Oryzias latipes: one gene and its partners. The main gene of each other region encodes a partner of the protein of the gene in region 3 in a complex. Links are inferred from orthologs where the notes say so. Each region holds a gene or a part of one and is shown on either strand. Other genes may lie near its edges.

Region 1 (8,074 bases), on a different chromosome or scaffold from region 3:
GCTCTTCCATTTAAGAGACAATAAATAAGGTCTTAGATTATCATATATGTTTATGAAACTAGCTGTGAGAACAAAGGCTAACATTCACTATACATCCACAAGAGGGGTTCAAATATAAAATAGCTGCAGGGAAGATATTTAAAATTGTTAAAATTAAAAATTTAAAAGAAATTGTAGACAGTGATTTAAGAAATAGATATAAAGGACTCAACAATATTCATTCATTTATTGTTGGTTTTGGTGTTTATTTTATTTTTTTGTCCTTTTTTTAACCACAACTGTTTCTTTTCAATGTTTGTGTTTATTTTTTCTAATTCTGCAAAAATTCAAGTTTGGACTGAATTGAAACAAGGTGCTTGCACTCAATAAGTTATCAAACTCCATTCAAAGTCCTTTTCAAATATTGCATGTAGTCATTTATTGTAATATTTGATGTTTTTATTTTATCAATTCAAAAGAAACAAATAATATTGTGATCCCTTACTTAACTCCTACTTAACTACTTTTAAATGACTGATTATCATATCTTCAGAAGTAGAACATGATAGGGTGAAGTGAAAATGTACTTCAAAATATTGAGAGAACAGTTGATTTAACCTAATGATTAACATAAATATAATATAATATAATATAATATAATATAATATAATATAATATAATATAATATAATATAATATAATATAATATAATATAATATAATACAATATTAAATAGATCATTTTTGGCTAAATTAAAGCACAGGAGGAACTATTTGAAGCTTGACCCTCTTCTTTAGATAGCTTAGTACATCAAAAAGAAAATATAACACGTCTACCATGAAATAAAAATAACAGATCAAATCTCAGAAAGCTAAAACAATAGTTTCTAGAGTAATAAAGACCAAAAGTCACGTTAGAAATCTTGATGTCACAATAGATTTAGACTTGTTAGCCTCACATTAGGGCTAAATCATCCTTTTATCATCACAATCTAACAGGGAAACTCAGAGATCTAATGTCTAGCCTAGATTTAGAGAAGGTGATTCATGCTTTTATCTCCTGCAGGCTGGACTGAAGCAAATGTCTTCTGTCTGCTCTACCAGTTTAATATAGAATTGATTTTAAAGTGCTAAGTCAAGTTTATGAATCATTTTAAGATGCGGGACTTGTTGGGTCTACTTGTGGTTTACAAACCGAGCATGTGTAGGATTTGCAGGAAGTAACACGCTGGCAGAATCCAAACTGGATGAAGCTCCTTTAAGCTATTCTGAAGCTCACTGATGGAACCAACTAGGGATGGGTATGGTTAAGGTTTTAACGGTACTACTACTCTTATCGATACTGCTTATCGATCCGGTATTTTAACGGTACACTTATCGATACTTTTTGAGGACGAAAAATAAATAAATAACAAATTAAGAACATAAAGTGTTTTATTTCCTCATTATGCAACAACACTGTTTTTTTTTTACAAAAGATTTTACTTTATACATGAGAATGTTCCAGACAGGATATTTATTTAATTATTTAATCTAATTATTTTTATTCTTTATGAGCGTGATGTTTCCTTTGATCTTTTGTCCATTTTCCACAACCTTGAATAGACTTTTCTGTCTGTCAAACACCAGAGTTAGGATTGAGTGAGATGATGGAAACAAATTCACTTTGATACAGACTCCTTTCTATTTATTTATTTTTGTTTAAATCCAGTAAACCCAATAATTTATATTAATTTTACGGATGACAACTATCATTAGTCATTAATTATTATTAAGTATTAGGAAGTATTTTGCATGTTAATACTATGTTCAATAAAGTTGAAAAAAAATAAGTTTTAGGAAGCAGCTGATAGTTTGTCACGGGTCTGGAATCATAAGCGGTGAATTTAAGCCCCGCCTCTCTACCTGTTTGTTTTGTGTAGATCACGCCGCCCCAGCGTGTTCTACACAGACAGCGCAACATACGGTCATCGTAGCAGCAAGGTGACAGCATGGTAGGGGCTCCTTGATGCAAACTTCATTAATTTTACGCAGAAACGGGTGTTCTTAGTCTAGGGCGCTCACGTGTCCCCTACGAGATCGCCACTGACTGTGTGTGCGCTGCCTTGTCTTGTGTGTGTGTGTGCGCGCGCGGCGCGTGCTGTCTGAAAAACAGCCCCGCCCCCGCTTCAACGAGAATACCAAAATTAATATCATAATTAATTAACGGAAAATTGACTGACTTGGTGAGTTAAATATGGCAGATAACACTTGTGGGACACAAAAAAGAAAAGAAAAAGTAACTTCTCCAGTACCGATAGCAGAACCGTTCAGGTCAGATCTTAACGATACTGCGGTCTTGAACAATGTGGCCCCGGGGCTGGTTCAGTACCGGGGCACGGTACCCATCCCTAGAACCAACCTCCTGGTGAACTCAGATGTTAACCAACTGTTTCTTGATTGAAGTTCCAGTTTAAACATAGTTTTTTTTTTTTTACTTTGCTGTATGTAGCTAAAACAATTTTATTTCTGCAAAGCATTTTTAATTTCCCTTGTTTGCATAAAACGATATGCAAATGAAATTGCCTTGCTTTACATGTGTTGTATAAGGCCTAAGTCATGTTTTTGTGGCATTTTTCTAATGCTGAAGAACATATCAAAAGAAAATTCTGCTTAAAATCGCATTTTTGAGTACTTCTTAATTCAAATGTGAACCAGGAGGTGATGAAAACATACCACTGGAAAAAGCTTGTAGTTGTGCTACAATCAGCAGGCCACAAGCTTCCAGCTCTGGTCCATTCTGATGCGTCCACTTGCAGATAACTATATACAAGTGCGTCTTTGGCTTCCTCAACTGAGCTGACATCTGGCTCTGCAGAAACCATGTTCCAGAAAACAACGTTGGTTTTTTTGGGGGCTAAAAACGGCATAATCATAATTAAAATACCACTGGGAACCCTTTTACAATAGATCAAAAGATGATTGGAGTGGGACTTTAAAAGTGCAGAAAATGTAAACAACACAAAGAACCAAGTTATAAAAACATTCATTATCTTAATGGATCAAAATTATTTTGGTCCTCTCCTTGGTATTCTTCAGACATGACTTGAAGTTCAACACGTGTTCTCAAATACATGTTATGACATGTTTGTGATTTCTATATACTTTTTAGGCCTTTAAAATAGCATTAAAATAAACAATAAAACATATAAATAAAACAATAAAAAATAATAGGGACCCAGTTCACTTTACTTATTTCGAGTTAAGAAAGCATTGAGTTAAGGGACACGTTTCAAACGTTATGTTTATCCATTTCTTTGTAACGGTCCAATAAGTAGTGGGGCCTAAACACAAGCTTTGTTTTTGTATTTTTTCTAAGACGTTTATAAAAAAATAGGTGTCATATTTATTACTAATACGTTGGTGGTGCTGGCGTAGTTGTTGCCATTCTCATCTCACAGGGAGAAGGCTCTGGGTCAAAACCCTGCTGCACCTTTTTGTGTGGAGTGTGCATGTTCTCCTCGTTTATGCGTAGGTTTCTTCTGATTTCTTCCCACAGTTTAAAGTCATGCTTCGTAGGTCAATTGGTGGTTATTAATAGTCCCTTGGGTGTGAACGTTTGTAGTTGTTTGTCTCCGTGTTGCCCTGCTATGGACTGGAAAACTGTCCAGGATGTACTCTACCTTCCCTCCTCAGTGGTTGGGTAGACGATGGCATTGAACAGGAATAAGTGGATTTAGAGACTAATTGGCTATATTTGGTAATTTTAGTAATCTCAGCAATTTCTGAGATGCATCCTGGCAGTAGAATGTGTGTATAAGTTTTACATATTAAATGAAGTTCCAATAAGTATGTCAAGGATGCATTTACAAAAAGTTGTAAATATGACTTCATGTTTTTGTTCTTATGCCCTTTCAAACAAAATGTCTTTCTAATTGGCAAAACACTGATAATGAAATAAAAATAAGAAATATAAAAGCAAACCTCATGTACCAATGACATGAAATTTTATAATTGAAAGACCCATTTTGAATCTTTCCCAGCAAAAAGACAGAACAGACATTTGGACAAGGACAGGATGGGCTGCTTCCTCAGGTGATTCAACACTCAGGTACAGCATGGAAAGAGAAAGATACGATCTTGCTGCTCTCTGATGTTCTCAACCTCCTGCTGGTACCTGCATCCTTTTTCTGACAGGCCCAAGCATGCTCAGACCACAAGTATGCCTCCAGCCCCAGATCCCCAGCCTTCCACCCGTCTGAACCCTGTACCGTCGTACCTTCCCTTATCCGTTCCATCATATGTCACACCTTTCTTTAAACCACTCAGAAAATCTCCCTTTGTGTGCTTTTTGGATTGTTTTATGGTATTAAATAGTATATATGTCAATAATATGTCAGAAAAAATGATTGAGCCTAACTTTTATATCAGTATTCGTCCAATAATTATATAGTAGTCAGTTGTGCTTCACATTAAAGACCCACTCCAATAAAAATCCTGATTTGGGTGTTTTTAACATGTTCTTGTGGCGTTTTTTTGACATCTATGAAGAAAATTAAGATCAAAACTGCATTTCTGAGTGTTTCTTTATTCAAATCGTTATGAATCAGGAGCAGATAAAACAAATGCTGTTGGAAAAAGCTTGAAGCAGTGACATAGGTGCTACAATTGGCAGGCCACAAGCTCTGAGCTCCTCTCTATTCTGATGCATCCACTTGTAGACGACTAGATCTATTTCCGCCTTCATTTTCCTTGTATGAGCTGAGATCTGGCTCAAAACTGTACGGCAGGATAGTTTCGATATTGCTCGCCATTTTTGTTGCATCTGTAATGTTAGGTTGGGGTTCTGAGGGGCTGTAGGCTAGTGGGAGAGAGTGTAAACAAAGGGATGATGTCAGGGCAGGCTTACTTCATGCCAACAGTCCTGCCAAAAGCTCAGAGGTGAATTTTAGTGAACTCCTTGTCATGGGGCCTCTGTCAGCTATCTTCCCCCTCCCCTCTCTGCTTGGCCACTGATTCGTCCCAGCTGCGTTCACTCATCTCATCAACCTGCCAGACCTACTTAAGGAGCGCCAGGACCAGAATTCAACGCTAGTTCGTTGCCCCTGATGGTGCTTGTCTGGTCTCTTTCAAGTTTTCCTGTTACGTATCTTTACCCTCGTCTAAACTCTAGTCTTTCTATGTCCAGGACCTACATATCCCACGAGTGGACGCCAGCTTCAGCTTCAGCCCAAGCGGAGTTATCCCCGGAGTTACCTACCTCCTCTCAACGCTCCATACATCAGGCCTCAGCTCTGGCCTCAGCCGAACCTCCAGCCACGTCAAGATCCACCCTCTCATCTGGAGTTGCCGTTCCTGCCATTCCCCGCCACAACAGGACAAATTCATCCGCTGGAAAAATTAAATCTATTATTTACCTTCACTCACCTCCTGTCTTCCTTCTGGGTTTCAGCGTCTGGGTCTGTCTAGCTTTGACAAGTCATGACAGAACGAACAACTAGCCAAAACCCCGACCCAGCTGGCCCGGAAGATTTACAAAATATTGTCTCCCAACAAGGTCGGTTCCTGGAACTCCTCTCCAGTGCGGTCACCCGCGTCACTACAGTCCAAGAGGACACGATCTCTCGCATCAGAGGTATGAACCAAACGCTTTCCGAGCTAACCGAGCGACATGCTAACCCTGCTATAGGAGCTTCTACTCCGTCTTCCGGCAACAATGCAGCTTCCGCTTCCGGTCCTGTCAACTCACCCGAAAACTTCCGGTTACAGCCTGAACCGTTCCTAGGCAACGTAGAAGCCTGTGGCGGGTTCTTACTTCAATGCCAACTCATATTCCAGCAGGCTCCCAGGCATTATCACTCTGATATCAGTAAAATCACCCTTATAATAAATTTTCTCCGGAAGAAAGCTCTTCGGTGGGCTCAAGCCTTTGTTTCTGCTAACCCTATTAGTCACCTTCGCTATGAACACTTCCTAAACGAATTCCGTTTGATTTTTGACCAACCCCGTAAACGGGAAGAAGCCACACGTAAATTACTTAACCTGAAACAACACAACCGGACTGTTAGTGAGCACGTCATTGACTCCGCATTCTGGCGGTCGAAGCAGGCTGGCCAGATCTGGCTTTAAAGGGCATTTTTTATCAATCTTTGAATGAAGAAATTAAAGACCATCTCTGTACTCAGCCTGAAACTAACTCCTTTGAAGAGCTCGTTTCAGCAGCCCTCCGCTCGGACATCCGACTCACCGAGCGACGTCATGATCGCCAACAGACCCCGAAGAAAACCATCAGCGATCCGGCCCCTTCTACCATCACAGCCCAGTCGCCCCTCAGAATGGATTTTCTCGCAAGCTCCAAACCATCTGAGGGACCTATACAGAGATCATTCTAAACTATCTGCAGAAGAACGACAGAGGCGAAAAGAGGAGGGTTCATGTTTTTATTGTGGAGCCCATGGACATTTAGTTTCACAGTGCACTCTGCGTTTAAATTCCCAAAACCCCCCGCTGAGTGACAGGTCACGGGGGGGCAACCTCAGCACTCAGGAAAATCAAAGCTTCCTGTGCATTCCTGTCAGAATATGCTGTAAAACCCAAACTCATGCTTTCAGGGCACTTATAGATTCTGGAGCCGAACAGAGCCTAATTGATCATGGTCTGGTGTCTAAACTCGGTCTTCCCACAGAACCTCTGGAAGCTCCTGTAGAGGCCTCGGGCTTAGGAGGGCAGCACCTCTCCAGAATTACGCATAGAACCAAACCTGTTCAACTTCTCACCTCTGGCAACCACAGGGAAGTTATGCAATTTTTCATTACCCAGTCCACTCATACGCCCATAGTACTAGGCTACTCCTGGTTAAAGTTGCATAACCCACAATTTAATTGGAGTTTAGGACACATAACTAACTGGAGCCCCTATTGTTCTGCTAATTGTCTCTCGTCCGCCTTACCTTCGGCTCATCATCACACCACTGACTCTCCCAGTAACATTAATCTGGATAAGATCCCCTCCTGTTACCATGACCTACGTGATGTTTTTTGCAAATCTAAGGCAAGCGCCCTTCCTCCCCATCGCCCCTACGATTGCAAAATCAATTTACTACCGGGTGCTACCTTACCAAAGGGCCGCATTTTCAACCTCTCTGGGCCTGAGAAACTTTCCATGGAAAGTTATATCCAGGAGGCGCTATCCCTGGGTCACATTCGTCCCTCATCATCCCCTGTTGGGGCAGGTTTCTTTTTTGTCGAAAAGCCCCTGCATAGATTACCGGGAACTCAATCAAATTACAGTAAAGGACAAATATTCTCTGCCCTTAATCTCCTCTGTTTTCGACTCCGTCCAGGAAGCCCACGTCTTCACAAAACTGGATCTCCGTAATGCCTATCACCTTGTCCGTGTCAAAGAGGGGGATGAATGGAAGACTGCCTTCAATACCCCCCTGGGGCATTATGAATATCTAGTTATGCCCTTTGGGTTGACTAATGCCCCAGCAGTATTTCAGAGGTTAGTCAACGACGTTCTTAGAGATTTTCTAAATCGCTTTGTTTTTGTATATCTTGATGACATCCTCATTTACTCAAACAATCTTACCCAGCATGAACAACACGTCCGTCAAGTCCTCACCCGTCTCTTATTGAACCAGCTGTATGTTAAGGCAGAGAAATGCGAATTCCATGTCAAGTCTGTTCAGTTCTTAGGTTACATCATTGAGGCAGGTCGTATAAAACCCGATCCCTCCAAGATCGAGGCTGTTTCCGCCTGGGAACCCCCTACCAATCCGAAGAAACTGCAACAATTTCTGGGCTTTGCTAATTTCTATAGACGTTTTATCCGCAACTACAGTAGCATTGCTGCCCCGCTCACTCGCCTCACTTCCACCCATCAAAACTTTCAATGGACCCAAGAAGCCCAACAGGCCTTTGACCATCTCAAGAAACTGTTTGTCACAGCCCCCATTCTCATTCAGCCAGATCCCTCACGCCAGTTTATCGTGGAGGTCGACGCCTCGGATTCCGGGGTCGGCGCTGTTCTTTCCCAGAAGGAACTCACGTCTGGAAAGCTCAAACCCTGTGCTTTCTTTTCAAAGAAATTGTCGGCTGCAGAACAAAATTACGACGT
Region 2 (7,982 bases), on a different chromosome or scaffold from region 3:
AGCAACAAGAGAAAGACGGACGTGCTGCACTTTACAATCCGTATTGAGACTGTTAACGTAACCCTTGTGCTATCCTAGGCACTTTACCATTGGGAGTTGGGTCATCTAGACCCACTAGACAGTGCTCTGAACCTTTTTTCTTCAATGATTTGTGATCTTCACTGGTGTCCATGGATTACATGAAATCTTTCCACCTTTATCCACCGTTGTCATGGTAGGGAGAACACGTCAATGGAAGGGTGGGGTCATCTGGACCCCATAAGATAGCACAAGGGTTAATAAAGCTTACCAGGTTTTAAGGTCAGGAACAACATGTTTTATTTGTTTTTTTTGGTATGGCAGAGGCATGCTGTAAGGCGGCTACTGCAAGGAGACGGGCCATGTGAGCTTCAACTCAGAGGATGCTAGCAACTGTAGTGATGAGGAGATGTTGGGTATGAAGGAACGCTAATGAGTGTTTATGACATCTAGATTGTTGGGGAAACTGGGAGAAGTGATTTGTATCACGTTAAAAATTGTGTTGATGAGTCTGAACTCATCCGACCACATTTCAATGAGTTGCTGTCTCATCATTGTGGTGTTATGGCATTGTTTTGAAGAGATATCTGAACTACAAGGGTGACGTCACAGCAGCACTGAGTGTATGCCGCGTAACGAGACACAGAAATGCGTGTAAGAAACTTTTTCATCTGTGCTAAAATAACAGCTGAAAACTGTTCGCCCGTTCCTTCATTCCTACTCTGTTTAAATCGGCTACGGTGGCCGTTTTGGTTCAGGTGTTTCGCTCCAAGGACGGATTGTATTCAGACAGAGGTATCTCAGAGCGAACCAAAGCTCAGTCTGATTGGAAACGAACCGAGACAGCCCCAAAGATGGCTCAGAGAGCGTTTCCTGGTCCCCAACCGCTTGGATGTATTCAGTCTGAAAATCTGTTACAGATTATCAGGGAAAACGAACGCCGGTTCAAGTTAAGGAAACCAAATGTGTCCAGTCTGACTAAAGCCTTTGATCCGTCTAGAAATTTCCCACAACTATCTGCCTTTTTTTTATTTAAGATAGAGAGACTGACAAATCTTCAGCATTACAACCACGTTAGTGGAATATCAATAAGTGTTTGTTCTGCTTCTTATAAACTCCACGATCATCACCAGGGAGCGGAAAATACACCTTCATTTGACAGCTTCTGCTTTCTGGGATCTACTGCCTTCCTGCTTGAGACACAGTTGTAAGGCCTGAATTTGGAGGATTAACTCTCCAGGTGGATTGCGAGAACCACATAGACAGCAGGTTTTCCACACTCATCTGTGAAGAAGCCAGTAACACTTCCACTTACGTCTGTGACAGCAAGACAACTGTTTATGCAGAACCCTGGGAACACAAACGCAGTCCCTTTCCTGGATTATAGTCCTTTGTTTGATAAATCACTCAAAAAAACAAAAAAGGTACAAGTGATTTGATTTCATCGCCCCTTAGAGTCACAGAGGAGTAGCTCATAAAAATAACAAGAAAAACATTTAGCTCTATTTCTAAGCATTTTACGCCCAAAACTGTGATTGGGTCTTAATCCAACATTTTGGTATCAGAAAGTGTCTCCATGTTGGATAATGTGACGACATTCCAGCCTTCAACATTGTTCCTCGCAGTCTTCCCTTGCTATATCGCAGTTTCACCGTCTCGTTGATTTTCTTAATGCAATTTCACATGGTTTTTATTTTGTTTTTTTTATTTCAGTGTTCTGTGTCCTGATTGGCTGTAGATCTAGTCAATGTATCTCATTTGTAGCGTGTCTCCTGTTCAGAATGTATTATGTTTGCCAAATCAAGATAAATCTTTGATCACAATCAGATCTTTGTTTTCCTTCTATAATCCTGGATTATTTTTCTCGGAAGGTTTGAACTTTAAAAGTTTAAACAAAAGAGAAAAGTGTGAAAATGTTCATGTCTCTCTGAAAAGAGTGTAGAAAGTGTGTAGTGAGGAGTTTTACAGCCTTAAAACATCTGTATTCCTACTTTGCAGATGTGACCTATCCCGGGTTATTTTTAGAACACAACACTTGTAATAAACCAAGTAAACTGCAAATTCTAAATAAAAACTGGGATGTATAGCAACAATTGTCTGTTTTGAAACAGCTTCGATCATTTTAAGAAAAAAACAGTTTTCAGATAAAAACAGCTAAAAAAAAAACTCCACCTAACATCTTTGTACAGATGGATGAGATTTAAAAAGAGGATTTCCCGATTACTTACCATGCCGTCCAGGTAGTCGTTCTGATCATCAACCTCTCTGTCGATGTCATACGCCAGCTGTCAGACATGCAGGAGAAAATATAACTGCAGTCATAAGATGACAGATATGTGGCAGACTTAGCAGTTTGGAGGCCCCAGGTGAACAATAACGTGGGGCCCTATGCAGCGGTTGTATTCATTTTTTTTATTTAACCCGGGACAGAAGAAAAGGACTTTGATGGATTTTTGGATGCTGATTGATGACTGAAAAAACAAAAAATAAATCACAACCAACTCAGTTTTGCTCCCGCTGCCTTTTTTTTAAAACACACACTAGCAAGCATGTTGTACCGGTGTTTTAACGTGCCCACGCCCTAACCCCCGGAGCGCCTTTTGTGTGTCAAATACAGGAAAAATCCCCCATAACTGAAACTGCGCCCTATAACCTAGTGGTAGTCTTTGAAACATTGACTGTAGTCATTAAAGCATAAAGTCTGCACCTGCCATTTAGATGTTCCACACTCACACATTCATAAGCTTCATTAAGTTATGCACTTTTGACATAGCCTGACAACAGAACCTGCAGGAAGCTACAGATGTGACAGAGACGTTATCAGCCATGGCGGAACAAAGAATGGACACGTCTGACTGATTAAATATACGATTAAGCCTCTAAAACTGATTGTTTGAGAAGCGTGACCTGTCCAACTTTTTCCAAAATGAGAATGCCGCAAAAAAGTTGGGGCAATTGGATGAAATTCAACACGAGAAAATGTTGTGGGATTTGGTTAAACTGCCGTGAATTGGTGCAATGGCAACATTGCGAAATCCTGTAAGGTCTGACAGAAGCATAAATGTATAAACGTATTCGTCTCTCTGCTTCCATTCAAGCTACAAATAGAGAAATAAAAGTACATCATCTTCAGGAATCTGCAGAAATGTTCTAGTTTGACTCACAGATTTCAGTCTGGAGACTTTGGTGGCCAGGTTCTCAGCCAAACGTTTGTTTTTAGCATCCAGCATGTCATCCACTGAGTCATGATCTGAAAACATACAAGATGAATTAAAAGTGATTTGTTTTAGCCAAAGGTTTTACATTTAATCAGACATACACATTAAAAACTTTTGTCAATAAAGCCCAATTTAAAAGAAGCTACACGTGAATGGGTTTAAAACAGACCTCAAGTTTTGCTTTCATTCTAGCTGCACTTTTGAATGCTATGTTAAGATCTTTGATCACAGATTTACTGATGAGACTGTAGGAAGTACCATGACCTGGAGGAAACCAAAGAAAAGGTGATAGTTCACTCATGAGATATCGGCCTGCTGCTCCATCATCACTGAACACCCAAGCCAGGAATATTTAGGGGGGAATATAACTAACACCTTCATAAAAACTGGACTGAAGTGTGCCTGCAGAAAGGCTGTACTGACTGTACTGACTGTACCTGCAGTACTGCCGAGGAGCCTGTGTACTTTCAGGGAGGAGTCACTTCCGAGGACCTTTTTACTCTCTGTAATGGTACCAGCAGCCAGAAATGGTCTTTTTATTTATGATGATGATGATGATGTTTTTAGCCCAAATCTAAATAACTGTGTTGTTTTCTAGGACATAGTTCCTGCAGAGCGGTAGGAGTTCATCAGAACTTCACCTCTGAGTTGTGGGCAGAACTGTTGGTGCAGAGAAAGCCCGTCCTCATTTCCTATGATCCCTGTGATTACATTCTCTACTGCTAGCGTACAGCCGCTCAGAACCCCAAACTAATATTAGCAGTGCAACAAAAATGGTGAGCAATATCAGAGCTATCTGGTGTAGGTACCGTAACCGTTCGCCTGCAATAACCGTTCGGGGGCCTTTCGACTGAGGATACGGTAAATTACATTACACTTAAAAAATTTACTTGGCATGTATATATATTGCTAATACACATTAAGATTATAGTTAGAAAGCATAATTGGTTAAATATAAATGATAAAATATACATTTCTTGAGAGCACTAAAATTTGAATTTCTTTTTCTTTTCTCAAGGTTAGAAAGAATGTGACAGACTGTGCATTGACAGAGGATGACATTTCAAGCGCTGAAGAGATGGTTAAAGCACTTAAACCAATGCTTGTGGAAAAGAATCCAACCATTTCAATGATTGCTCCTCTTCATGCCAAACTGCTGTACAACTCAACTAGCACTGAAGAAGATTCTCCTCTGGTTCGAGAGATCAAGACCTTTCAAAGAGATATCAGTCTGAGGTGGAAAAAGATCTCCTACGCATGTCCTCAGCCCTAGACCCTAGATTTAAATCTCTTTTGTTTCTGCAAGACACGTCTGCAAAACTGAAGTCAAAAGCAGCTTTAAAGGAAGGGGATCCAGTGTCTTGTGATGACCTACAGGAGGATTTGGAGGATGAGGAGCCGCCACATTCCAGCAGCGACACCAGCACCACCAAGAAAAGAAAGTCTGCACGAGTAGATCTTCTGGGTCAAACCTTCAAGAAGACCTCTTATGCCTCTACAGCAGCAGCCTCGCAGAAAAAGAGGTCAAACAATATCAAGACGCCTCTTCTCTGCCTCTCACTGAAGATCCACTGCTGTGGTGGAAATCTCAACAGCATGTGTTCCCTCTGCTCTCCAAACTGGCCCATATGCATCTGTGGATTCCAGGGACTAGTGTGGTAGCGGTTATGGTACCTACACCACCTACAGCTTAGATCCAGAGTCCAGCTCAGAGAAGGAAAACAAAGACAGAAGATGGATCCATTTGACTGACAGGGGATGAATCAGAATGGAGCGGAGCAGGAAGCTTGTGGCTCGCCGATTGTAGCTCCTACGTCACAACTACAAGTTTTTTCAAACTGCAATTTTCCGTCTGTTCCAGATTAACAATAGTTTGAATAAAGAAACTCAGAAATGCAATTTTAAGCTTACTTACTTTTCTCCATAATGAGAAACAATGGCACAAGAACAAGTTAAAAACACAATTTTCATGGGAGTGGGTCTTTAAATACTGAGCAGAAACTCGAATGAGAACCAGAACCACAGAATTTCAGGTTAAACCAAAGTTACCGACGGACATGAGAGATTGTAATGTCATTTCCGACCATAGTATTACTAATTACACGGATTCCGAAAAAAAGGAAATTTGTTTATCTAAATAGGAACCAAAAGATGAAAAAATAGAGTGAAACTTGAACATTTATTTGAAAAAAAATCCCTCAGAACTTAAGGTGGTTTTATGTAAATAAACGAATTTGTTGACAGCTCAAAGTTAGTTCACTTCATGATAGCTACACTGACTTGTCAACAGCTAACTAAACTACTGTTAGCTCAGAGTCAGACGCTCCACATTTCCGGTCGTAATCTAATCCGACTTTATTTCGCTTTAAATACTCCCTCCGATCTACGGGACTCGTCTTATCCTGATTAAAACACCGAAGATGAACAAATATTAAAAAGTGAATACGTGTTCGGTTTCCTACCTCTGTCCCAGCTCGCCATCTTGCTTTGTGACGTCACAGTCAGCTGCCCGGAACACGTGACTACGACACGTTATCAGTTCTGATCCTGAAGGAAACGGAACAGGTTGAAATGAAAGTTTAATCCAGAACCGCATAATTTATTAATGTTCTCTGCTTTCATCGGGATGAAAAACACAATTTATATAATTTCTTAAGATTCATTTTTTGTTTCTTTCTTACGCTCTATAGAACAATTCAAAGTTCCTTTAGTAAAAATTACTTGAAGTTTTTGTTACTTGAGTATGAGTATTGCAAGTGTACTGTAGACCATGTACATGTAGTGTAAGAAGTATACTAACTGAGTCCTTCTGAAGAAATGTGAACATTTTAAGTCTACAATGCATGGATATAAAAGTTTAAAGTATACTGCCTACCTTTTAGTGTAGACTAAGTATACTTGTAGTACACTTAAATACACTACTTTTTGCGAAGAGTTTGCTCTGGTAAATAACTATTTTATTTTCTATTGCGAGAAGGTAACAAATTAAAACTATAGACTCTAAAGTGAATTTTAGTCAAATCTAGGTCACAAGGAAGGAATAGTTATTTTAAAAAAGAAGTATTTGATTAAAAAAAAGATTTCTAAACACATCACTCTTGAACTGTTTACGCTTAAGCTAAGGCCCTTGTTTCTATTGATTAAATCTGTTCTTTTTTTAATTTAATTTGCTATGTTTCGTTTTAAATTGACTGCATTCTTCAGTTCTTGAATAACATTTTTGTTTACAAATCACACTTTTGAAAAACAATGAGCAGAAATACCTCGTTCACACCTTTTTAATCAAGCTTGTGCTTTTTCCTAATTGAAGTGTTTTGTGTTGTTGTGTTTACAGTATTGACAAAATGTCTTGGGTCTGGATGACCCTTGTTTTCTGGAAACTGTTCTGCTCTGGAACTCTCCTGTATGAATGAGAGTCCTCACAGAAATCATGTGTCAGCGGCTCAGCCGTGCTGGTTGTGTTCTTTGGGTATTGGCTTCATTGACCCGGCAATCCTCTCTCCACATATAGGGAGGGGGATCCTTGAGATTTCTAGCATCATCTGAGCCTGGTGGTGTTTGTGTCCCTGGTTCTGGTTCTGGTCCGTGCATTCTTGCTATGTAACTCCTCATCATCATCAACACCAGAGAGCCTGGTCGGTCCATGCTAACCATTTTTCGCAGGGATCCTTGTCTCTCGCTGGAGCCCTCTTCCTGCCTGGATCTGTGCTGGACTCCCCACAGGGCAGGGAGGTAGTTGGCTAGGCTGTGACATGAGTGTTTCTTGGGGGATGCAGACGCCTGGGTGTTGGTGGACGCCTGATCTGCGGCTGTGGGAACTCTCAGGTGGGTGTGACCTTGCGCTGGACCTTGTGCTACCTCTGGACTGGGTGGCTGGTGCCGTTTGTCTAGGGGGGCAGACCCCTTCGATCTGCTTCTCTGTGTGGGTGTCTGGGGGGTCACGTCTGCCCCTGCTGCCTTGCCAGGGAGTTGGTGTCCGGGTGATCGATAATGTCTGAATGTGAGGTTGAAATAGAGCAAAAATCTGAGATACTTAAACAAGCAAAAGTGGCATTCCTTCATTCGTAGCATGTTTTTTTTCCTGGAAAATTAAAAAAATAAAAGTGATACATGAATGTTGGCTCAAGCTGAACAAACTGATATGTGATATGAACATATTAGGAATTGGCGTGGTTAACAAAAAAACCTCAGTTGCCAAGGAAAAAGTTTACCATTGCAGATTTTTATAAAGTGATGTAGATCTGTTCTTCACTCTCAGACAAACAAAAACTACAATGGTTCTTATGGAGACTACAGTAAACCCTTCTGTTTGGAAAAAAAATGTTTTTCTCATGAATTTGTCACATGTTGACCAGTCTGGCAGAGGAATGTGAAGGGCTCAAAGCATCTCCTAGGCCAGTGAGGGCAGGTAAAAAGGGGGTAGTAGGGGGTGTGAGGGTGGAGGCAGGTTACGCCTGCGCCCTCATCGGCCAGATTACTTGTGTTTTTCGGACTAAGCGTTAGACAGGTCTGTTTTTAACTAGCTTTGCAGTTTGTCTTAAGAGGAACTGTGAGGTTTGTAGCTTTGGTCTAATCATCTCTGCCCTGTGTTAACTGCACAGCATCATCGGCATACGTCACAATGTAAGGATGATGTGGGAGGTCAGTGATGTACAACCAGAACAGCAGGGGCCTGAGCTGGCATACCTTAAGACCTAATTTTATATTTTTCCAGTGGGAGACACAAGCTTTGATGCGCAGCAGCAT
Region 3 (8,074 bases):
AGAGCGGACTCGCTCACACCAACAGGATTATTGCTACAGGGCAGAAGCTCCTCCTCTCCAGACGCTCCCTCACTTCCGGAAGAACTTCAGGTAGATCACGGCGCCCAGGATGGCGAGCTCCATTAGAATGATGACAGCCAGGAGCAGCTTGTTTGTCATGAGCCTGCAGGACAGAGAGGAAGACCCTCCTCATCATCGGTGGATTTAAGCGTTTATTTGATTATTGTATATGCGAACTGGTCTAAGTGACTCCTCCTCCCTGGCGTTCCAAACAGGAAGTGCCCGCGGCCTCTAAGACGCCAAAATCCCATAAACTTCTACAGCTGTTGACATTCCCGGGGCGGACACTCTACCACGCGTGACCTTCTTGTGTTATGAGCAGTTCTTGCTTTACCCATAATACTCTGCTTCAATAAAACGATTGTCCTCGCTCCGCTGAGAGTGAACACGCCCTCGTTCTCAGACGTTCAGGTGTGCTTCCACACCTGAGGGCTGTCTGAGGGAGACTTTTTATAGTCTGGATCCAAAGCCTGTTCTTCTTCCTGTTCTCCAACTCTTGACTGTGTTCATGTTTATGTGCTTTTATGTTTTTTTAAAGTACTGTACATAAATGCTGGGCACAAAGGGGGCGTGGCCCTTTTGACTGACACGTGACCCTTTGAATCAACCCGAGTGGTGGGTGAGCTTACCGCCGAGACATGGCCCGCAGAACTTTCCTACTTCGACTCAGGTTCTCTCCCGTGTTCACCAACTGAACAGAGGAAGAAACGAAACGAGTGACGCGGGAGAAGGAAAGGAGGAGGAGGAGGAGGAGGAGGAGGAGGAGGAAGAGGAAGAGGAAGAGGAAGAGGAGGAGGAAGAGAAGGAGAAGGAGGAAAGGAGGAGGAGGAGGAAAGGAGGAGGAGGAACACGAGGAGGAGGAAGAAGAGAAGGAGGAGGAGAAGGAGGAAAGGAGGAGGAGGAGGAAAGGAGGAGGAGGAGGAAAGGAGGAGGAGGAACACGAGGAGGAGGAGGACAAAGAGGAGGAGGAGAAGGAAAGGAGGAGAAGGAAAGGAGGAGGAGGAAAGGAGGAGGAGGAGGAGGAGGAGGAGGAGGAAGAGGAAGAGGAGGAGGAAGAGGAAGAGAAGGAGAAGGAGGAAAGGAGGAGGAGGAGGAAAGGAGGAGGAGGAACACGAGGAGGAGGAAGAAGAGGAGGACAAAGAGGAGGAGGAGAAGGAAAGGAGGAGGAGGAAAGGAGCAGGAGGACAAAGAGGAGGAGGAGAAGGAAAGGAGGAGAAGGAAAGGAGGAGGAGGAAAGGAGGAGGAGGAAAGGAGGAGGAGGCGGCGGCCTCACTCTGTCTCTGGTTCGGTCCAGCTGCTCCCTCTGCCCCCCCAGCTCTTCGATGATGTCTGTACCGATCTGCTCCGTCTCCACGGCGATGCGCTGGCTGCGCTCGATGCTCTGCGTGGCGTTGTTCAGGTAGTCCGTCCCCTGAAGCAGCAGCGACCTCTGCGACTGCAGGTGTGTCTGCACCCCCCAGGGACAAACAGGAAGTCAGGAGGTTTCCAGAACACCTGTGAGGCGTGAAGGTCCACACTCACACTCTGCTGGTTCTCGGGTGAATAGAGGCCCTGGCGGTCGCCGTGAGACGTCAGGGGGGCGGGGCCGAAGCCGGGAGCAAAGGTTTTCATGTCCCTCTGCAGTTTGCCGATGTCTCTGCGGTACAGACGCAGCTTGGTGCTCATGGCGTTTCTGTAGGACGCCGGCGCCGCACGGAGCTCGTCCTCCATGCCCTGCAACTGTGAGAGAAAATCCAAGTCCATTTGATCAAAAAGATGGATTTTAGCGTCTGAAACGACTATAGAAACGCCGACAAGGTTCAAGAAAAATGGAATTATTAACTCTTCAGTTAAAAAAGAAATTACACCTGAGACATGGCAACCATTAATGGATTATTTCTATAGACAAGTCAACCTCTACTTGAACATTTAATTGTAAAATCTGCAGGGTATTTGTTTGTTTTGTTGTTCTTTGCTTTTCTTTTTTTTGGTATTGTTTGCTGTAAAAAATAAAAATAAAAAAGAGGGGAAAAAACAATAAAACATTTTTTTCTTTTATTTCAAATGAATGAAAAGAACAAAAAGAAATTTAAAATAGAAAACTAAACTTAAAGCTGCATGCAAACCATGTAACCATAATCACACTGTTCATTTCAAATAAATGTAAAAACAGTATGAAAAAAAGAAATTAAAGGTTAATCAGCTGATAAACGCACAATGACTTCATGTGAAACTAGAAGCTCGTTTTCCCTCCAACAGGAAGAGATGAACAAAATTTGATCAAATATTCTTATTTTTGTGTGTGAAACGCAACCAAATATTTGAACTTTGACTTCAAGTCTTCGCTGGTTCTTGACTGTAGCACCAAAAACCCCAGTTTGATTTTTTCAAAGCCTTTTTTAAAAATTAATATTTAATAATGAATGTGCCATCTGTTGTGTTTAACCGCAAAATGACTCCATGAATGTGAGCCGTCAGGAAGGAGGACATCTGCTTACCACCTCCTCAGCCTCTCCCTGCCGCTCATCGAAGCTCCTCACCAGCCTCTTCCTCTCCTCTGCAGACCAGAGCACACAGGTTACAGAGGCTCCTTCCATCCATCCATCCTTTCAAACACCCACTGCCATGAAAACGATGGGGGACATGTATAACATGTAGCTTATAACTGCCTTTCTGAGTAATTCTTTATTCAAATCGTTGTGAATCGGGAGCGGACGGAAAAAAAAGCAGTTTGAAAAACGTATATTTGCGATGTGTTGCACCTGTAACGTCAGGTTGAGGGTGTGAGAGGCTGTAAGCAGGAGAGCGTGTAAACAGACGGGTGACGGGAAGTGGGGGTGGGCTTACTCCTGCCGACAGTCCCGCCCACAACTCTGACGCAAATTTCTAACAAACTGCTGTCCTAGAAAACGACACAGCTTCTTGGCTAAATAAAAAAAAACATGATCATAATTTAAGACGACTTTGGAAATAGATCAAAAGATGATCAGAGTGAGATTTTGTTAGTTTTATTCATTCATAACCCAGGAGACGTACAGTAAATAATAAAGACCATTACCTTGTACATCAATTATAAACACCAGAGGGATAAATATACAAAAATAAAGTTATATGAAATGACAAACCTGAGCAAAATGACAAGTATGAATTGCTTCTTTGTTTGTATTGGGGGAAATGGATTGTTAGTAAAATCTAATTTAAGTCGATCAATCAAAACAATTGGGAGCTTTATTGCTAAATTTAGTTTTGTGAATAAAATACTTAGTAAAATCAGGAGATTCGTTAAATCAAATTAAGACGAATGTTTATTATCATAATTAATGAAACCAAATAAGATGTTTTTTCCATGCAAGTCCCAAAAAATATGCATCAACAACGTTTCCTCAAATGAAAACAGAAAGAACAGTTTTTCTGTTTTTAGCCTTTGCATAAACTGATTTGTTGGATGAAACCTATGAATGATCTTGAATGAAACCTCTTTCACTTTGTTTTTTAGTGAGATTTTAAGAACACAATGAGCAACAAAGAACATGATCCTCGTTTACCTCCGTGACATTTCGCGGCTCTGTCAGGAATTAACTTCAGCTCCTCGTACAAAGATCTGTAGATTTCCTGCAACTTCTCGAATTCCTCCGACGACATTTCTCAGGGATCAACCCGGATAGTTCCTCCTGAATACAGTTATTATTGCTCCTCCTGAATATAGATATATTCAAGAGTCTTAAAAGGTTTTTTTGTAGGTGGAAAGGTTAAGATAATCTGTTTGTTTTGCTTCCTTCATCATCAGAACCCGGGATTCTTCCGCATGATGGTCCTCGTGACCAAAAGGACTAAAATTCCGTAAAAGAATGAAATAATCGGTTGTGTTTTACACATTTAAAAATTAAAATAGTGTTAAAGATACCATTTTAAATTTATTTTTTATGAACTGTATCACACAATATTGCTTATCGGAATTTTAAAAGGGAAAAGAGTAAAGATTTCTAGTCAGGCAGTTAAATAGACACCTAACATTGGCTCCAGGGGAAATTGGGAAGTGTAGTTTATTGATTTCGTTAAACAGAAGAGTTCTAAATTGAATCTTTAGTTACAAGAAAGAAAATGTTTTGATTTAAATTTATGTGTACAATTAAAATTAAATTAGATGCGATTTCTATAATTCAATTTTTGCAACTGATTCAAATAGGCCTACTGGTATATGTGTTACTCAACTTACTATTATTTTAATAAATAAAAGGATATTTGTAAAAATAAAATAAAACCTTCACTACAAATTGAGTTTTTGTGCTGAAAATGCATTTTTAGTTTTTAAAAAGTTAATATTATTTGAATGTTTTATCTTATTTTGTTCGAGGACAACGTATAATAATGCAATAGATATTCTAAATAAATGTTATACAGAAATAACCAGAGGCAGCTTTCAGTTTTATGAAGTGATAACGGCAACTTAAATGGTAATTGATTCTAGTGATAATAATAATAATTGTTCAAATGATAATAAATCATATAAATGTATATACATTTATTTAAATTTTTTTTGCAAAATATAAGGCTGTGGGAGGATTTAGATTTAGCTGTTGTGTTTATATGTTTTTGTCTTTTTTTCCAATTTCTTTTACAAAATTCAATCTACAATAATTGACATTTTTCCATGTTTTACTTCGAATTCTGGCATTACATTTCTTAAATTAAACTATAGTTTTGTATTCCTTTATAATGAACCGTTTCTCACTCATCCTTTACGATTTTTCTTACTGTTTTTTAAACACATTTAGTTTGTATATATATCTTTTGGCATTCATTCTAATCTTTCCTGCTGCTACGTGAAATTAAAAAACAACATTTTTTTTGTATTTGACCTCCAATGTAAAGGACTACAAAACACAACAATGACTACAATCCCACAATCCTTTGCACGTGCGCTCTCGGTGCCGCTGCGCCCCTCCAGCCCTGACATCAGCTGCTCAGCCCCGCTCTGCCCACACATCCCTGACGTCCGGCCGGAGGCAGAGGCCCGTGGAAGCGCTCAGATGTGGGTCTTGGTGATCATCGCGGGGATCGGGGTGGTGACGCTGCTGCTGCTGCTGTTCGCTCCGCACATACGGTGAGCTGCAGCGGGGACCCGCTGTCCCCCCATCGCGGTACCTGCACTGCTGTGACGTCATCAGCACGGAGGCTGGCTTTGCTTTTTAACCCCAGAGGTGTTTATTTGAGTCAGCCGCTTTGATTTCGGTGTGAGTTTTGTCTCAAATCCGCTAAACGGTGACGGAATTTTGAGTGAATCAGAAAAACGTTTGAGCACCGGGATGAGGCGGCCGCCTTCCGTCTGAGCTGCTCGGGCCTATCAGGTGCCCGCACGTGGGAGGAGTCCAATTAATATGCGTAAGCGGAGCGGGGCCATTGGGTGCGGGGCGGGCCCGTTCGGTGGCGTGGGTCGCTCGACCCGACGATCCGCGCCGTTCCGCCAAGTTTGTCCATGAATAATTAACCCGTGTGGCTCAGAGAAATCACTCGTTCAGACGGAAACCGTGCCGTGCCGCTCCGGGTTGGGTTAAAACAGCTGTCTCTGTTGAACAGAAGATATGCAGCTGGAGCCGCGTGCAGGACCGCGAGCCGCCTGGACGGGAAGACGGTACTCATCACCGGAGCCAACACCGGCATCGGGAAGGAGACCGCGCTGGACCTGGCCCTGAGAGGTGAGTAGGGTCCGAGGAGACCCGGGTGCTGTCCAAGTCCTATTAGTGGTCTCACTGCATCAACATGTCACCCCTCACAATCCAAAGAAAGTGTCTATGACCAGACCGTGGATTCAGACCCACAACCTCCCAGTCTCAGGGCAGACACTACACTGGTGGTACATTTAATTTAACCAGATTACCTCATTTCAGACAAAACTCTTGATTTTACATCATTTTATGGGAGGGGGGGACAAACATCTCAGCCAGTTCACCTCAAGACCAGACCAAAGGAATATCAGCCTCTACAGGCCTCGGGTAGCTACCGTTGACTCATGGGCCTCTGTCATGGGTGGAAGGGTGATGATTTCACAAATTGCAAATCCATTTTCAATTTGACAAGAATCTGGTTTATTTCCTGAGTTCGTCATCGGGTCTTATGTTCTCCAACGGATCCTCAAGTCAAAGCTTGGGTTTTTCCCAATTCATCGAGTCAAAGCTCAGGGCTTCTTCCCAACTTCTTCAGTTAAAACTCGGGTTTTCTCTAAGACTCCCCAAGTCAAAGCTCAGATCGTCTCTTCGACCACACGAGTCAAAGCTCAGATCGTCTCTTCGACCACACGAGTCAAAGCTCAGATCTTCTCTTCGACCACACGAGTCAAAGCTCAGGTCTTCTCTGACTCTTCGAGTTAAAGCTTGGGTCTTCTCCCCAATTCCTCAAATCAAAGCTCATGTCCTTTCAGCAACTCTTTGAGTCAAAGCTCTGGTCTTTCCTCCAATAAATTGACTCAAAGCTAAGGTATTTCTGCCCAAGTCATCGAGTCCAAGCTCATGTCTTCTGTCCGACTCCTGGAGTCTAGACTTAGGTCTTCTCTCTGACTCCTCATATTAAAGCTCAGGTTTTTTCCCCAAGTCCTCAAGTCAAAGCTTGAGCAAAGACCCAAAGCACAGCAGAGTGTTCAAACTCTCTGGTGGGACTTGAAAGAAACAGGTCATGAACAAAATCTTCAATAAAGAATCAATTTGTAACAGCAGCTACTTTAGATTCTAGCAAAGAGGTTTTAGAAGCTCGTGGTTCATTTAGATTCTCACATACGGATTCCTGAGTCCACATCGCAGTCAAATCAGTTCATCTAAAGCTGGAACTCTACACAGAATGGGTTTTTGTCTCCTTACCGTGTCGGTTTTGCTGGTCTCTCAGGAGCTCGGGTCATCATGGCGTGCCGAGACACAGAAAAGGGCGAAGAGGCGGCAGCCAGTATACGAGCCGAGTGCCCCAAGGCTCAGGTGGAGGTTCGAGAGCTGGACTTGGCGGACACCTGCTCCATCCGAGCATTCGCTCAGAAATTCCTCAGAGGTGACTCAGGGGGAACTGTTCTCCATCCAAACAGCAGAACCTGAAGGTCTGGAGCTTCTTCTGTCCTCCGTTCCTTTGCAGAAGTCCACCAGCTCCACATCCTCATCAACAACGCCGGCGTGATGATGTGCCCCTACACGAAAACGGTCGACGGCTTTGAGATGCACATCGGAGTCAATCATCTGGGTATGGCGCCACAGACATACTTTAAAAAAGTGATCATCATCTCCTGTAGCGGTTTGGCACCGAAGGAGAAGATTGTTTTCACTCCTTTCTTGCTGAGCCTTTGAGCAAAAAGGTAATTGTCAAAAAAATAATTTCAACAGACTGTACCTGGTACTTGGTGAACACCGTGAACAGTACTACTATGTCAGGAATGTAGGTGTAGTCACAACAAACCCGTTGCCAAGGAAATCCAAAAGTTGACTTTTGCAGACTCTTCTAAAACTTACAGACGTGTTCGTCGCCTCCTATGGAGCTAAAACCAACAGAGAAGCTGCCATTGTGAAAACTGTCTGCTGTCAGAGTCCTGTCCAAATTCAACGACTCCTTCAAATGCGGCCAACAAAGACGGCCTTCTTTTTTCCAGATTTCAAGGGGCGTGAACAAATTCGAGGGCCGCGGCCTTCCCGGTTGACGTTGGCCGGGTCTTTCGTCCAGCAGGTAGGCTGGATATTAACGGCTGTAAAATTTGGACGAGTCTAGACCAATCGTTGACCAATCCAGGGATTTTCTGACAACAATGGCGGAATGGGAGGCGGGACCCCGGAGTTGGAGATAATTACACCTTTTTATAATTACACCTCCAAGATTAAAAGTTGGATCAAATAAACCAGGAACATTTTGAGCTCCATGCCTGGTTCACGGTTGCTAGGCGACAGGACATTCGCCGATGGAACGCCTGGCATTATCTAAAGGCTACACTCGTCCAAATTCACAGCCGTCAACAACCGGCCGCTGAAGGGTGCAGCCCTCGAATTTGGAAACAGCCTTAGTGCTTTTG

The links. Proteins that work in one complex are often made in the same cells at the same time.
Region 1: vti1b (region 3) and stx5 share a complex: the UniProt entries of both Homo sapiens proteins name them as parts of the SNARE complex. The link is inferred for Oryzias latipes from reciprocal best matches to the Homo sapiens genes VTI1B and STX5.
Region 2: vti1b (region 3) and bet1l share a complex: the UniProt entries of both Homo sapiens proteins name them as parts of the SNARE complex. The link is inferred for Oryzias latipes from reciprocal best matches to the Homo sapiens genes VTI1B and BET1L.

Annotation. Positions count from the first base shown.
Region 1 is NC_019868.2:11,882,263-11,890,336, reverse strand, and holds the start of stx5 (syntaxin-5), read right to left. Parts: upstream 5,236-8,074; 5' UTR 5,217-5,235; intron 1-5,216. UniProt on the Homo sapiens protein: Mediates endoplasmic reticulum to Golgi transport.
Region 2 is NC_019864.2:3,546,577-3,554,558, reverse strand, and holds the start of bet1l (BET1-like protein), read right to left. Parts: upstream 5,789-7,982; 5' UTR 5,718-5,788; coding exon 5,699-5,717; intron 3,269-5,698; coding exon 3,183-3,268; intron 2,304-3,182; coding exon 2,247-2,303; intron 1-2,246. UniProt on the Homo sapiens protein: Vesicle SNARE required for targeting and fusion of retrograde transport vesicles with the Golgi complex. Required for the integrity of the Golgi complex.
Region 3 is NC_019880.2:1,873,002-1,881,075, reverse strand, and holds the start of vti1b (vesicle transport through interaction with t-SNAREs homolog 1B), read right to left. Parts: upstream 3,890-8,074; 5' UTR 3,682-3,889; coding exon 3,585-3,681; intron 2,660-3,584; exon of another isoform or gene 2,637-2,659; coding exon of another isoform or gene 2,597-2,636; coding exon 2,538-2,596; intron 1,780-2,537; coding exon 1,582-1,779; intron 1,508-1,581; coding exon 1,334-1,507; intron 752-1,333; coding exon 690-751; intron 164-689; coding exon 70-163; 3' UTR 1-69. Other genes in the region: retinol dehydrogenase 12, read left to right, coding at 4,929-5,143, 5,617-5,735, 6,916-7,071, 7,153-7,257. UniProt on the Homo sapiens protein: V-SNARE that mediates vesicle transport pathways through interactions with t-SNAREs on the target membrane. These interactions are proposed to mediate aspects of the specificity of vesicle trafficking and to promote fusion of the lipid bilayers.